Schizosaccharomyces pombe: one gene and its partners. Changing the gene in region 3 together with the main gene of any one other region gives a genetic interaction. Each region holds a gene or a part of one and is shown on either strand. Other genes may lie near its edges.

Region 1 (3,760 bases), 3.4 Mb from region 3:
GATGCACCGCCCGTAAATTTAGTAGGAACGTTAGAAGATGGTTGAGGAGCATACAAGTTGCCCTTAGATGAATGATAAGGTAAACCAGGAAATGAAGTTCCTTCCTTATCAACATCAATGCTACTGGTAGAAGGAGAAGAGATGGGCTCAGTAAGACGAGAAGGTAAACCGCTATTTTGAGAAATTGAGTCCGTAGGGGATGAACGTTTTAATATCGGTGATGTGGCCGAAGGTTCGTTAGAATCAAAACGAGATACATTTTCAGGGACCGCAGATTGCGTAGACTTAGAATTGCGCGAACTTGGTGTGGCTAAAGGAGGAATCACGTATTGGTTCCAATCGGTAGATGGAGATGAGTCCAAATCAGGTGAAACAATCATATTTGACAAAGAAGGCATCACACTAGTCGGACGATTAACATAATCGTTAAATCCCGGACGAGTTGGACTGGATTTTGATGGTGAACCGCCGGCTTCATCATTAGATTTTTTTGGAATAGAAGAGGAGGAATCAGAACTTTGGCTAACAGAAATAGGCTCAGCAAACTGCGGATATTCTTCATATAAAGATTGTTCGTATGAATCTTTTAATTGTTGGATCTTTCGTAAAACTTCAAAACGTTTTCCAAAAGAAGTAATGTTAAGTTCTTTCAAAACATTGGAATCTAAGCCTAATAAAATTTCACCGGTTATTTCATTCTCCGCAAAATTAGGAGCTACTGATCCAAGGCCGGCATTCATAAGCCATTCAACTACCTCTTCCGTAGACCAGTTAGGAACATTTTGAATTTTTTCGGAAACAGCAAGAGAGGATGCAGGTCGATTTTCAATATAGGGCAAAGGTGAACTGTCATTTGGAGTACGAGATGCTGAAGTTGACATATTCTGTAAAGCTGTTTCAATATCTGTAATAGTTTCTCTAACGGAATCCTCAGCTGACAAAACCTTTTTCAAGCTTGCTGAAGTAGCAGGAGCAGAAGTAGAAGCAGAAGCATTATTATAATCGGCATCAATAGTGTTGAAGTTTGATAGATCTGAGGAAGGTTGGTTATCCAACAAAGGGGAAGGGCCTTCTTGTTTAGAAGATGGAAACATTGAGTTAAAATTACTAGGGACCGAAGGTTTCGAAAGACTATCAAGGGGGCCGTTTAAGATTGATGAGTGACTTGAAGACAAGGAATTATTCGAATACAACTTTTCACTGTCCTTGTCCGATCGTGAAGAAGTTGACCGGCTGCTTGATAAAGAGGATCTTGTGACTTCCGCGGTAGAAATGGAGAAATCTTCTTTGCCTCTTCTTGAATCACTTGAGTCAGACCTCTCATCAGATATCAATTCTACGTGCGAAGCAGGAAAAATACCCCTATTTCCCTGTTCATCTTCTCCCTATTAAAACTTAGTTAGTATGATAAAAATATATCAAGGTTTCACAATCCTAAGGGCATGCAACTTTGACATATAGTGTTTGCATCTTTATGTGGATTGGAAAACTGTACAAAGCAGGCATCAAGAATCCTTCAAATTATAAAATATACCAGGAATAAAAATAATAGGATTTTGACTTCGAAGTTATATACTTACTTCCCACCAACCATCACCAAATTCTTCATCCATCTTTATCAACAGATACTTCCGACCTTCAACCAACGGAAGTTCATCACTACTCTTCCCCGGAAAGGAATGCAAAGCAATCACGAACCGCTGACTTGCCATAGTTGTGGTAAAAGCAGAAAAAACACAGCTATGTGGTTATGCGGTGTTGTAATCGAAGGCTTAAATCTTGATGGCTGGCAAAACAGTGTTTACCGTGTTTGGCTTAGCCCACTTTAACGATAATAATCTATGTGGGGAAAGACGACCTTCGTGGGGGCTTTGCTTTTTGAAATCTGCAAGTCTGTTATATTACATTAGGAGAGTGTTGCAGAATGTGTTTTGACCTAGTCATGGTTTAACCAGTACTTACGTGGGGGTAATAGTAGTATTAGGTGTTGAATAGGTGTTTTATTTATTTCTTCTAATATACATGTCGGTACGTTTGAAGGCAAAGGATAGAATGTCTCATCTTCGTATATTAACGAATAAATGAAGGACCAAAGAACTAAGAATTGTGATTATGCTTACGTTTCCATTGAAATACGCTTAGTATAACGATGAGGGTGACAATTGCATAGTTACTATAATACATGTATCTAATTTATTTATTCACGTGTGTAATGAGGTCGATTGACTTGATCTACCACAAAGGTATTATGGAAATGCGATCGAGTATTAACCAGGTAACTTATTATTTATACAAGGTCCGTCTACGGTTGAAGGTAATTATTGGATAACTTCGCTAATATTTCACAATACTAAAATAAAAAATGAGCTAAACTCGTATTTGACCATATTCCTGGGATATCAACAGTCCACTATATGATTTTGCTTAATAAGAATCATTAGCTATCTGAATGCATGATTATTTAACAGCATCCCTCGCAGACAGAATTCTATACCCTTTACGATCTAATAATTGCAAATATTTCATACATGTATGGGAATATTAGATGATTACCGTTAAAGTGATTTATTGCTAAAAATTGCAAATACAGTTTTCCCTTCAGAGGATAGTAAGAATGTGTATATAAAAATTTAGTAATAAACAGTAAGTTTACTTAACATTGCAAGTTATAGATAAAATAGCATCAACCACTTTATCAGAGTTCTTCTGGGAGCTTGTCTCGATACTTGCAAATGTGTCCTGGACTTGCTTTTTGCTCTCCGCTTCAGCCTGACTATATATACCAGAAGCCTGATATGTTAAAATTGATTGTCCAAACTCTTAAAAACTGTATTGAATAACTTTACCTGACTTTCTGACTTTTTGAATTCCTCTTCCTTCTTGGAAGCGTATTCATCAATTTCGCGTTTAGCCTCAAGACGTGCATCCTTCAATCTTTGAGTGCGATCTTTTTATCTTTTAGAAACGTTGCTCCGATTGATTAAACTTACGTTGGCGAGCCTTTTCGACTATATTTCTAGCAACTTTTTCAGCCTACATATCTCATTAGAAATAACGATCTTGGAATTACCTGAACTTACCTCTAAAAGTTGTTGGATACCAGAATTCGTTTGAGCACTCTAAAAAGAAGTCAGAAATTGCTCCTTATAATAAAAATACAAATTACCATTATGTCTGTAAATTTAATCGTACTTGAGGAAGGGTCTATGGTCGAAGAAGTAATACTGGTTTGATAAACTACTCGATCTCCGTAACGTACTCTATCTACTCTGCTATCCACTAATTCCGTATCTTCTTAAACTCGCTAACGATATGGTAAGATGCGATGTTTTGATTGAAATAATGTTTGCTCCTAAATTTGGATACTATATAATAAAATCAGATTCTTACTATCCTCGGTTATAATTGTTGGGCAACGCGCCGTTGTTTGCTCAGGTGAACTGGAACTTAATAAGTAAATTCGGTATTGTTTTACATTTTTAGGCATATGATCAAGAACTGTAAGTAAACAGATAGCAGAAACCATTTGAATCTTACAATATTACATGATAGTACGTTCGAGCAGCACTGAATTTAACAAGTGCATCTAATAATGCTGTTACGGCGTATACAGCATCCTTGCAAATATAAGCATTGCTAAACATAACTCATTTATGTTTTATAGACATTACTTTCAAAACATCAAATTTTTCTATTTATATGCTCTTTTTAACAACCACCATACCTAAATGAATTACTATTTTAAACTTAGTATATTTTC
Region 2 (3,760 bases), on a different chromosome or scaffold from region 3:
TTTCTCGAGTTGTTTTAATACTCCTTCATCATTTATTTTTTTTAGAATGAGTAAAATGCTTTTGAAATTCCCTATTCTCAAGGATTCCTTGAACTGGAGTAAAGCAGTTTTAGATGGGATATTTTCAAGAAATGCATTTATAAGAAGCATTTGTGAAATGATATACTCAATAGTTATTTTATCATGTAAGGCCGCTTCTTCTAGTACTTTCTTTTCTTCAGTAACAACTTTCTCTAAGAGTGTTCTTTTCCATTGAGAAAGCCATAAATCAAAGACGTTCATAGACTCGACTTTCAAATTTGCAAAGTTTTTCATACATTTCATAATTGCGTTGATTCCGTTCGGCTTTTCTGAGTAACAAAGAAAAGTAAGTAATTCGGCAGCTAGTTTCCTTACTAGTAATTTAGTTGACAGGAGGCAGTGAACAACTGAATCGATAGGATACTTATTACTCAGATAGAAATCAGTCCCAATCTTCTGTCCTATAATACACCTCATGCTTTTGAGGATTGCAATTTCTAAAGTTATGTCAGGACTTTTTAGATGTTTCTTCTCATGAATTGCCTGCAATATTTTAGCAAGTACTATGTGTCCACCCATCAAAAGAAAATATCGAACCCAGGTAACTGATTCGGTTCTCAATGCAACCGCCAAAGATTCCACGTACTTGAGCTTCAACGGTGTACAGCTTAACTTTTCAATATAGGAAATGACGGATGCCTTGACATTTAGTTCAGAATCGTTTGATGATATTTTTAAAAATTTATCGTTTCTCGATAAATAGCCAGTGATGAAAGACCATTTGTTTTCTTGAGAGAGTGTAACGTTCGCGTCCCAATGAAACTGCTCACCAGAATCAGATTTTTCTTCGCGTAATCTTTTTAAAACATCATCGAATAATTCATTCACTAAATTCGGGTCATCCGGACATAGAAGCGCTTCGCCTGGTACATATGAATCGGTAAATCCAACAGGTCTTTTTGATAAATTGTTGCAATGAATATCCGGAATAGTGTTTTTTTTGTTTTCAATACTCACAAATAGTGAAGAGTAATCATTTGTAATACGAAGGTCTGTTTTCTTTACGCTTTGGTTTTTTAATCTGCTTCGCGATAATGCTTTTGCTTCGACTTTTTCATATGGGTCAGTGTGTAAATCAATGTTTGTTAGAGACCCAAACGATGAAATTTCTTTAACAATTGGTTTAGAGATTCTGATACCTTTAAAACTAGCCGTCATCATTAACAAGCAATAGCTAAAAAAGGTGAAACCATCAATAATATGTCCTATAATTACAGAAACAAGGTTTTTTGCTCGTAAACAATCCTTTTTGAGTTCAGATATAAGAAGTAAGGTAAAAGACTTACTAGAAAATTACTGAGTATTTAGAACATAACTTTCTTTGTTCGGTTTAACCGACGTAATATGATTCAAAGCAACAATTACATATGCAACGATCCATTTTATTGTACCCGTTAAAGAACAAAGAAATACTAACTGTGTTCGAAAACTATTTAGTTTTCCGATAAGTTCAAGCTCAAACACAAACGTAATTGGAAAGCGACAACTTGAAAGTAGTCCATATCAGAATTAACTGAATAATGCTGGAAATAAGTTTAGTGTCCATTCTAGTTTATATTTATTAATAAATGTTTTTTAAAAGACATTGAGAGGGTGGCGTACATACTGTGTCTTTAGAATAAGGCGCCTAATGAAGTGCTAGTTTACTATCACGCTAAAATTAAACAATCGCTTCTGCTGTTTAATTTATAGCTTGATTGATATTTGTTTTCCATAAATGAAAGACAGTTTGATTAAAAAGGATAAACATTTTGAGTACAAGATCAAGATCAAGAAAACTTAAAAAAATCAATCAGACTGTTGAACTGAAAACTAGCAACGAAAAAATGTACAAGATGAACTTTCAATTTAATATATTAAAATAAGAAAAATCTTTAATGCAGACTACTCTTTCGCACCTAAAAGCTCCAAAAACCATTCCAAGAGCATGGAAGATAACTCACTATAAACAAATCATAACAGTGGATAAACATAAAACGTAGGAAATATAAACATAAAATAACATAAACAACTAAATCTTGTCAAAAGCGAATTGTAAAAACAATTGAAGCAGTCCAAAGTAGTTCGTAACTAATACTAACAGTCGTAATTGGGGTTTAAAACTCGAAGTATGTTTAGTTCTGCTTTCAAATTGTTATTTCGTTTCTCAGCATCTTCCAATAAAGCTTGATATACATGAAGCTCATTGACTACCAAATCATGAAATAGATTGCTAGTCAAAAGTTGAGCAGCAGTTGGGCGCTTATTCGAAGAGCTGAGCATTGACCGGATTAAGCTAGCTTCCTCTGGCATGGAATCCAAGAAATCATGGGGGAAAATGCCCTTTTTTAAATTGGCGATAGCTGATGCCCTTTCCATGCGCGTGTTAAAAGGATACAGTAATTCAAAAAAGAGTATGCCCAATGCATATATGTCAGTAGACGAGTTGTTATTCATTACCGATCGCATGTGTTTTGAGAAAAGTTCAGGAGCTGCATACGTACTTGTACCGACAAAAGAAGATTCAGCTGAGGAGTTGGTCCCCTCTTCCAAATTATCTGACTGAGAAAGAACAAGACCGAAATCGCCTATCTTGGGCACAACACATAAAGTTCTTTGGTTCACTGGTTCGTACGCATTGCTAACCTCAACATTATCTTCATCAGAAAAATTAGGTAGACACACAGAGCAAGGCTCAGAATGTACACCACTAGATAGAAAAATATTTCGAGGTTTCAAATCACGATGGACTAAATGCATAGCATCGTGAAGATACAAAACGCCCTCTAAAATCCTTGCAAACAGTAAAATATAACAGTTACGTAGGCCTTTAGACATTACACCGTGAATATGCTTATTTCGTCTGTTTATGTGTTTCTCGAGTGTTTCTTCGCAAAGAGCCATTTGTATGTACAAACATAAGGGCTGTTGATCAAAGCTGGGAATATTGGAACATTCATCTTCCTCTCTTTCGGATAGAAATGAATCCATAAGTAACATTTCAGAAGCTGACTTCGTTGGCGCCAACTTTCCTAATGTGTCGACTTGTGATGTTGTTGAAGAACAATCATGTGACTCGGCATAATCCTGATCGGCCTCTTTCTTGAAAAGATCAGTCAAGTTGCAAGTCGAATTTTTGGTAGAGTAACAAGGAGTTAAATCATCTGCAACCGAGTCCTCTTGGAATAGTATCTGAACTGATGAAGGATAAGTATGCTGAAGTAACCCAGTATCCATATCAAACATAAAATTATCTATATCTGCTGATTGAGATAATGTCTCATCTGCCGAAGCTAAAGGTTCTTCTTCGATTTGCTTTTCAGATGACGGTAAGAGCTCGACCCAACTAGAAAAGAATCTTATCACATTGGGATGGTTTAATCTTGCCAAGGTCCTAGATTCACGGAATATGTTAGAAGAAGTGGAGAAAGAACGTAACCGAAGTGGAATTTTTTTTAAAGCATATTCAACTCCATCGAATTTATTTCGAGCTTTATACACTGAACCATAACCGCCTTTACCAAGTAACTCAAGTTCTTCAAAATCACTTGCATATCTTGACCTTTGGACTGTGGGAAAGCTATCAAAGTTGCTAAAAGACAAGTTACCGGTTCCATCTTTGTGCTCACAAAAATCAGCAAACGTGGAGGACTCCAAAGTGGTTTGTGGAAAGCAAGATTCCAATGCTTCAACTGGTAAA
Region 3 (3,760 bases):
ATAGAAGTTTGTGGCGAAATAATAGCTGGATTAACGAAACGAAGAAAGAAAAATCCACCTATTAAAGAGCAAATAGTGCTGTCTGAAATACTAGGAAACAGACGATTTGTCAGATTGCGAATTAACTTACAGACCCAGCGAATACCATATGGAATTTCGTCGATGCTGTTAAGAACAGCATCTAAAAATCGTTTTGTCAAAAGCAATAATTGAGCAGAACGCTCTTGAATTGCATTTTTTACAGCAGGAAACTCTGAAACTTCCTCGTTTGTTAATAAATTATCATCTTCAGATGGTGATAATTGACCGGTATTCACCAAATAGCGATAAACTGAAAGAGGATGGATGTCAAGCTGCAAATCAGGATGGATAGCAACGTCATTAATGCATTGGTAAAGGATACTACGAAGATATGCTTGTCCGGGTCCACGACGTGTATAAGTTGTAAGCATTCTAGATACCGGAGTATTAGCCCTAAGCAGAGACAAAACGTCAGAAGTGGCCTCAAATTCGGTGGTTAATACCATTTGAAAAAGAGATAATAAAAGATGCTCTTCTCTACTCTCGTATTGGTTTCCGTATATATTAAACATAACGATTTGTAGAAGTGCATCCATGTTAAAAAGCTTGACGCGACGAACAAGGCTAGCGATATAGGCTGGTTCAGACTGAAGTAAAAAAAACAACGCTCCATACAACTGAAGCTTACGATCGTCAGGAAATGATCCTTTTACAGCATTGTAATTATCATTCAGTCGTTTTGCAAACTCATGCTGTTCTTCTTGTGCCATTCGATTTTGGATAAGAAGTGCAATTTTGGAATCAAGGTAGCGTACATCCCTCTCGAGGACGAAGTTTTGTTTGGACTGACTGGATATTTGTTGTTTGAGATCATGCAATTCACGATCCAAGTGGAAAAAGGCATCCTCAACGTCGGACTCCATATCAAGATCGATTGTATAAAGCACAGAGGTGCTTTCACGATTCCTTAACAAGGACAATCGATTTGTTTGCGGAAGCACCGACGAAGATAGGGTACCAGAGTGCCGCTTAGTCATTATAAATTTCAATAGCTAAAAATTGCCTAAGTAGCTAATGAACAAGAGAGGGTAGAAAAAAAAAAGAAAGAGTGTAGGGATCAAGTCAAAGTGTAAAAGAAGAAAACAAGGATGGATATTATACTAAGTTTTCAAACAAAAAAAAAATAAAATAAAAGAGAAAATCATCAAAAGAACGTTATTAGAGGAGATCGGACAGAACCTATTGGTTCTATTAGCAAAACACAGTATTAAGACCCACTGGCGCCCGATTAAACGATTAAAGAAAGCGAAATTCTTCCAAAGAAAAAAGAAAAGGATATAGAATTTATAACGTTATTGAGCAATTCAATAGTATTTGAGCAAAGCGTCCGAGTACGTTAACGTGAAAGGACGTAGGTTCAATGTGACAAATCTGGGAAAAAAAGAGAACAAAGAATAAAATGCTTGACAAAACACAAAAACAGGGTAGCAAAATGATATTGGACGAATAAAATTTAACACAATACTAGTGAGTGTTGTATATGAAGGTAGATGTATATGTATGTGAAAATAAGTAATGCTTTGTAGATGGAATAATATATATAAATATTTAATATTTATATATTTTTAAACAAAAATTAATAACTGGCTTGCTGAAGCAGCAACAAAATAAAGATGAGAAAAATTAAAAATTTTCAAGAAAAGATACTCGAGAAATTAAGATTATTATGTTGTGATATGAGATATCAGAAAAAACAAGGATGCTTGTTTAATTTTATAGTCTTTAAAAGCGTCTTTGAGGATTTCTGTATGTACGAAGTCTTGGGTAGAAAGGCCGACCAAAGGGTAGCGACTATAAGCGATGTAAGGTTTAATGATGTGGAAAAAAAAAATGCCGACTTAGTGAAAGTAAATATGTTACAATACAAAGTGGTGAATTAAAAAAAAAAAAAAAAAAGAGAGAGAAATGTAGAAATTTTATACATGAGAATATGTTAAACAAAGGACAAAATCTAATAATGTCTGCTTAAGACTGGTAGGTACATGTCATAGAAATAATTTACAACGTATATCAATTAATTCAATTGAGAGAATATCTAGTACGAAACGTTAAGTGCTTGTTTAATATGCGCCTGAAGTTTTTGTTTGGCTTGAGCTTTGTTTACATAGCAAGGACAAGACAGAAGCTATTATGGTATTTAGTGGAAATTCATTGTTTAATAAAGTGCGCAGCATTATATCAGATTTCCAACGTATTTTAATATTCGATAATGTATTAATGATCAATTAAAGAAACTCTAACTAATTTTTCAATTGGTAATTCGTTATTTGTAATGATTCATTTATAGATTTATTTTATTTTTTTTTATTTTTTTTTTAATTTTTTTTTTACACTAAGCTACTGGCAGTTTGTACGTTAAGCAAATACAAAGTCGCACGTGGGTGTTTTACCAAAAAGAATTGCGAGTGAATAGGATAAAATGGACGATGAATTTGTAGATTTTTTTTACTACAATTAATCAATGAAAGGAGTAAAAATTTAAAAAAAAAAAATAAAAAATAAATAAAAAATAAAATTAAATAAAGGACAAGATGAAAACTTATTATATGAATTATGGATTTACTTTATTTTATGCTCTTACAAACCGTAACTGGACTGCTGGAATTTCTTCTACTAGATGAGCGTCTATTTGTGTCCTATATATTTAAATTTTATTTTCTCAAATTACATATATATATCAATATGTTATTTCGATTATTTTCGATTTTAATTTTGATATTTTGGAAATTCACTTTATCTTCTACATAATCGCATTTCCTATATCAATCATCATCATCATTTGGACATCTTGGATCCGCTAATTATAGTAACGTTGTATTTTCACTTCATATATCACACTTTACCATTTAACTTTCTTATGGTACGTCGAGTGAGACACAATCGATACCTTGTGTTCTTCAATAGCTATTCCCACAGCACATGAGTCTTTTTACGTAACCCAATAACCTCTTCCCCGGAGTGATCTGTAGCGGACCATTTACTCAATATTGAAACTTTTTAATTACCACGTTGAATCACAAATTGCCAACAAAACACAAGCGCTTTATTTATTAAACGCATCTGACGTTTCAGTATGTGAATTTCTATTACTAGTAGTATGGTATTTTGTCGCACTTCAAATTTGGCCACCGTTACTATATGAGACGAAGCAATACGTAGCAGTAATGTATTTAGTACTCATTTATCAATGAAAAAGATCAAAACAAGAGATTAACTGAGTGATATTCAATAGGATTTGCTAAGTGAAGAGATGATCAAACATTTAATGCTGACTTGGTCATCTCCAACCTATATTACATAGATTTGATTTCTCCATGTTTGGGGAGAGAAATTAGACGAAGGGGTGGATTTTCATTCGTTTCTTCGACAAATAAGTCTTGAGCAAAAGTCCACTCAAAATTCGAATGATGTATAGCGCTATAGCAGTGGTAGAAATATCTGTTGTTTATGATTGCCAATTTTGCTAAGCAATGGTAATGATGATCATCTGTGTAAGTACTATGTATAATAATTAGAGAACTGAGTACCCAATATTATAGCATGCATTATTATGCTTACAGTACGAGATTACTCTCAAACTAACTAATAAAATTAATTACTTGATGACTTGACTTATCTATTCTCCTGCCAAATTATCAAACAACATAAAGAGTAAATTTTAATTTTTTTTTCAAGATTG

What was found.
Region 1: of gap1 (region 3) and pob1, extra expression of one rescues a mutant of the other (dosage rescue), as found in Schizosaccharomyces pombe (one study listed by BioGRID).
Region 2: of gap1 (region 3) and fus1, changing one suppresses a phenotype caused by changing the other (phenotypic suppression), as found in Schizosaccharomyces pombe (one study listed by BioGRID).

Annotation. Positions count from the first base shown.
Region 1 is NC_003423.3:4,389,442-4,393,201, forward strand, and holds the start of pob1 (Boi family protein), read right to left. Parts: upstream 1,722-3,760; 5' UTR 1,713-1,721; coding exon 1,581-1,712; intron 1,386-1,580; coding exon 1-1,385. Other genes in the region: vma10 (V-type ATPase V1 domain subunit G), read right to left, coding at 2,650-2,790, 2,847-2,947, 2,991-3,033, 3,081-3,119, 3,167-3,169. UniProt on the Schizosaccharomyces pombe protein: Has a role in cell elongation and separation.
Region 2 is NC_003424.3:4,816,102-4,819,861, forward strand, and holds the start of fus1 (formin Fus1), read right to left. Parts: upstream 1,686-3,760; 5' UTR 1,243-1,685; coding exon 1-1,242. Other genes in the region: eIF2 alpha kinase Hri1, read right to left, coding at 2,158-3,760. UniProt on the Schizosaccharomyces pombe protein: Required for cell fusion. It associates with the pre-zygotic projection tips in conjugating cells.
Region 3 is NC_003423.3:946,345-950,104, forward strand, and holds the start of gap1 (GTPase-activating protein Gap1), read right to left. Parts: upstream 1,844-3,760; 5' UTR 1,059-1,843; coding exon 1-1,058.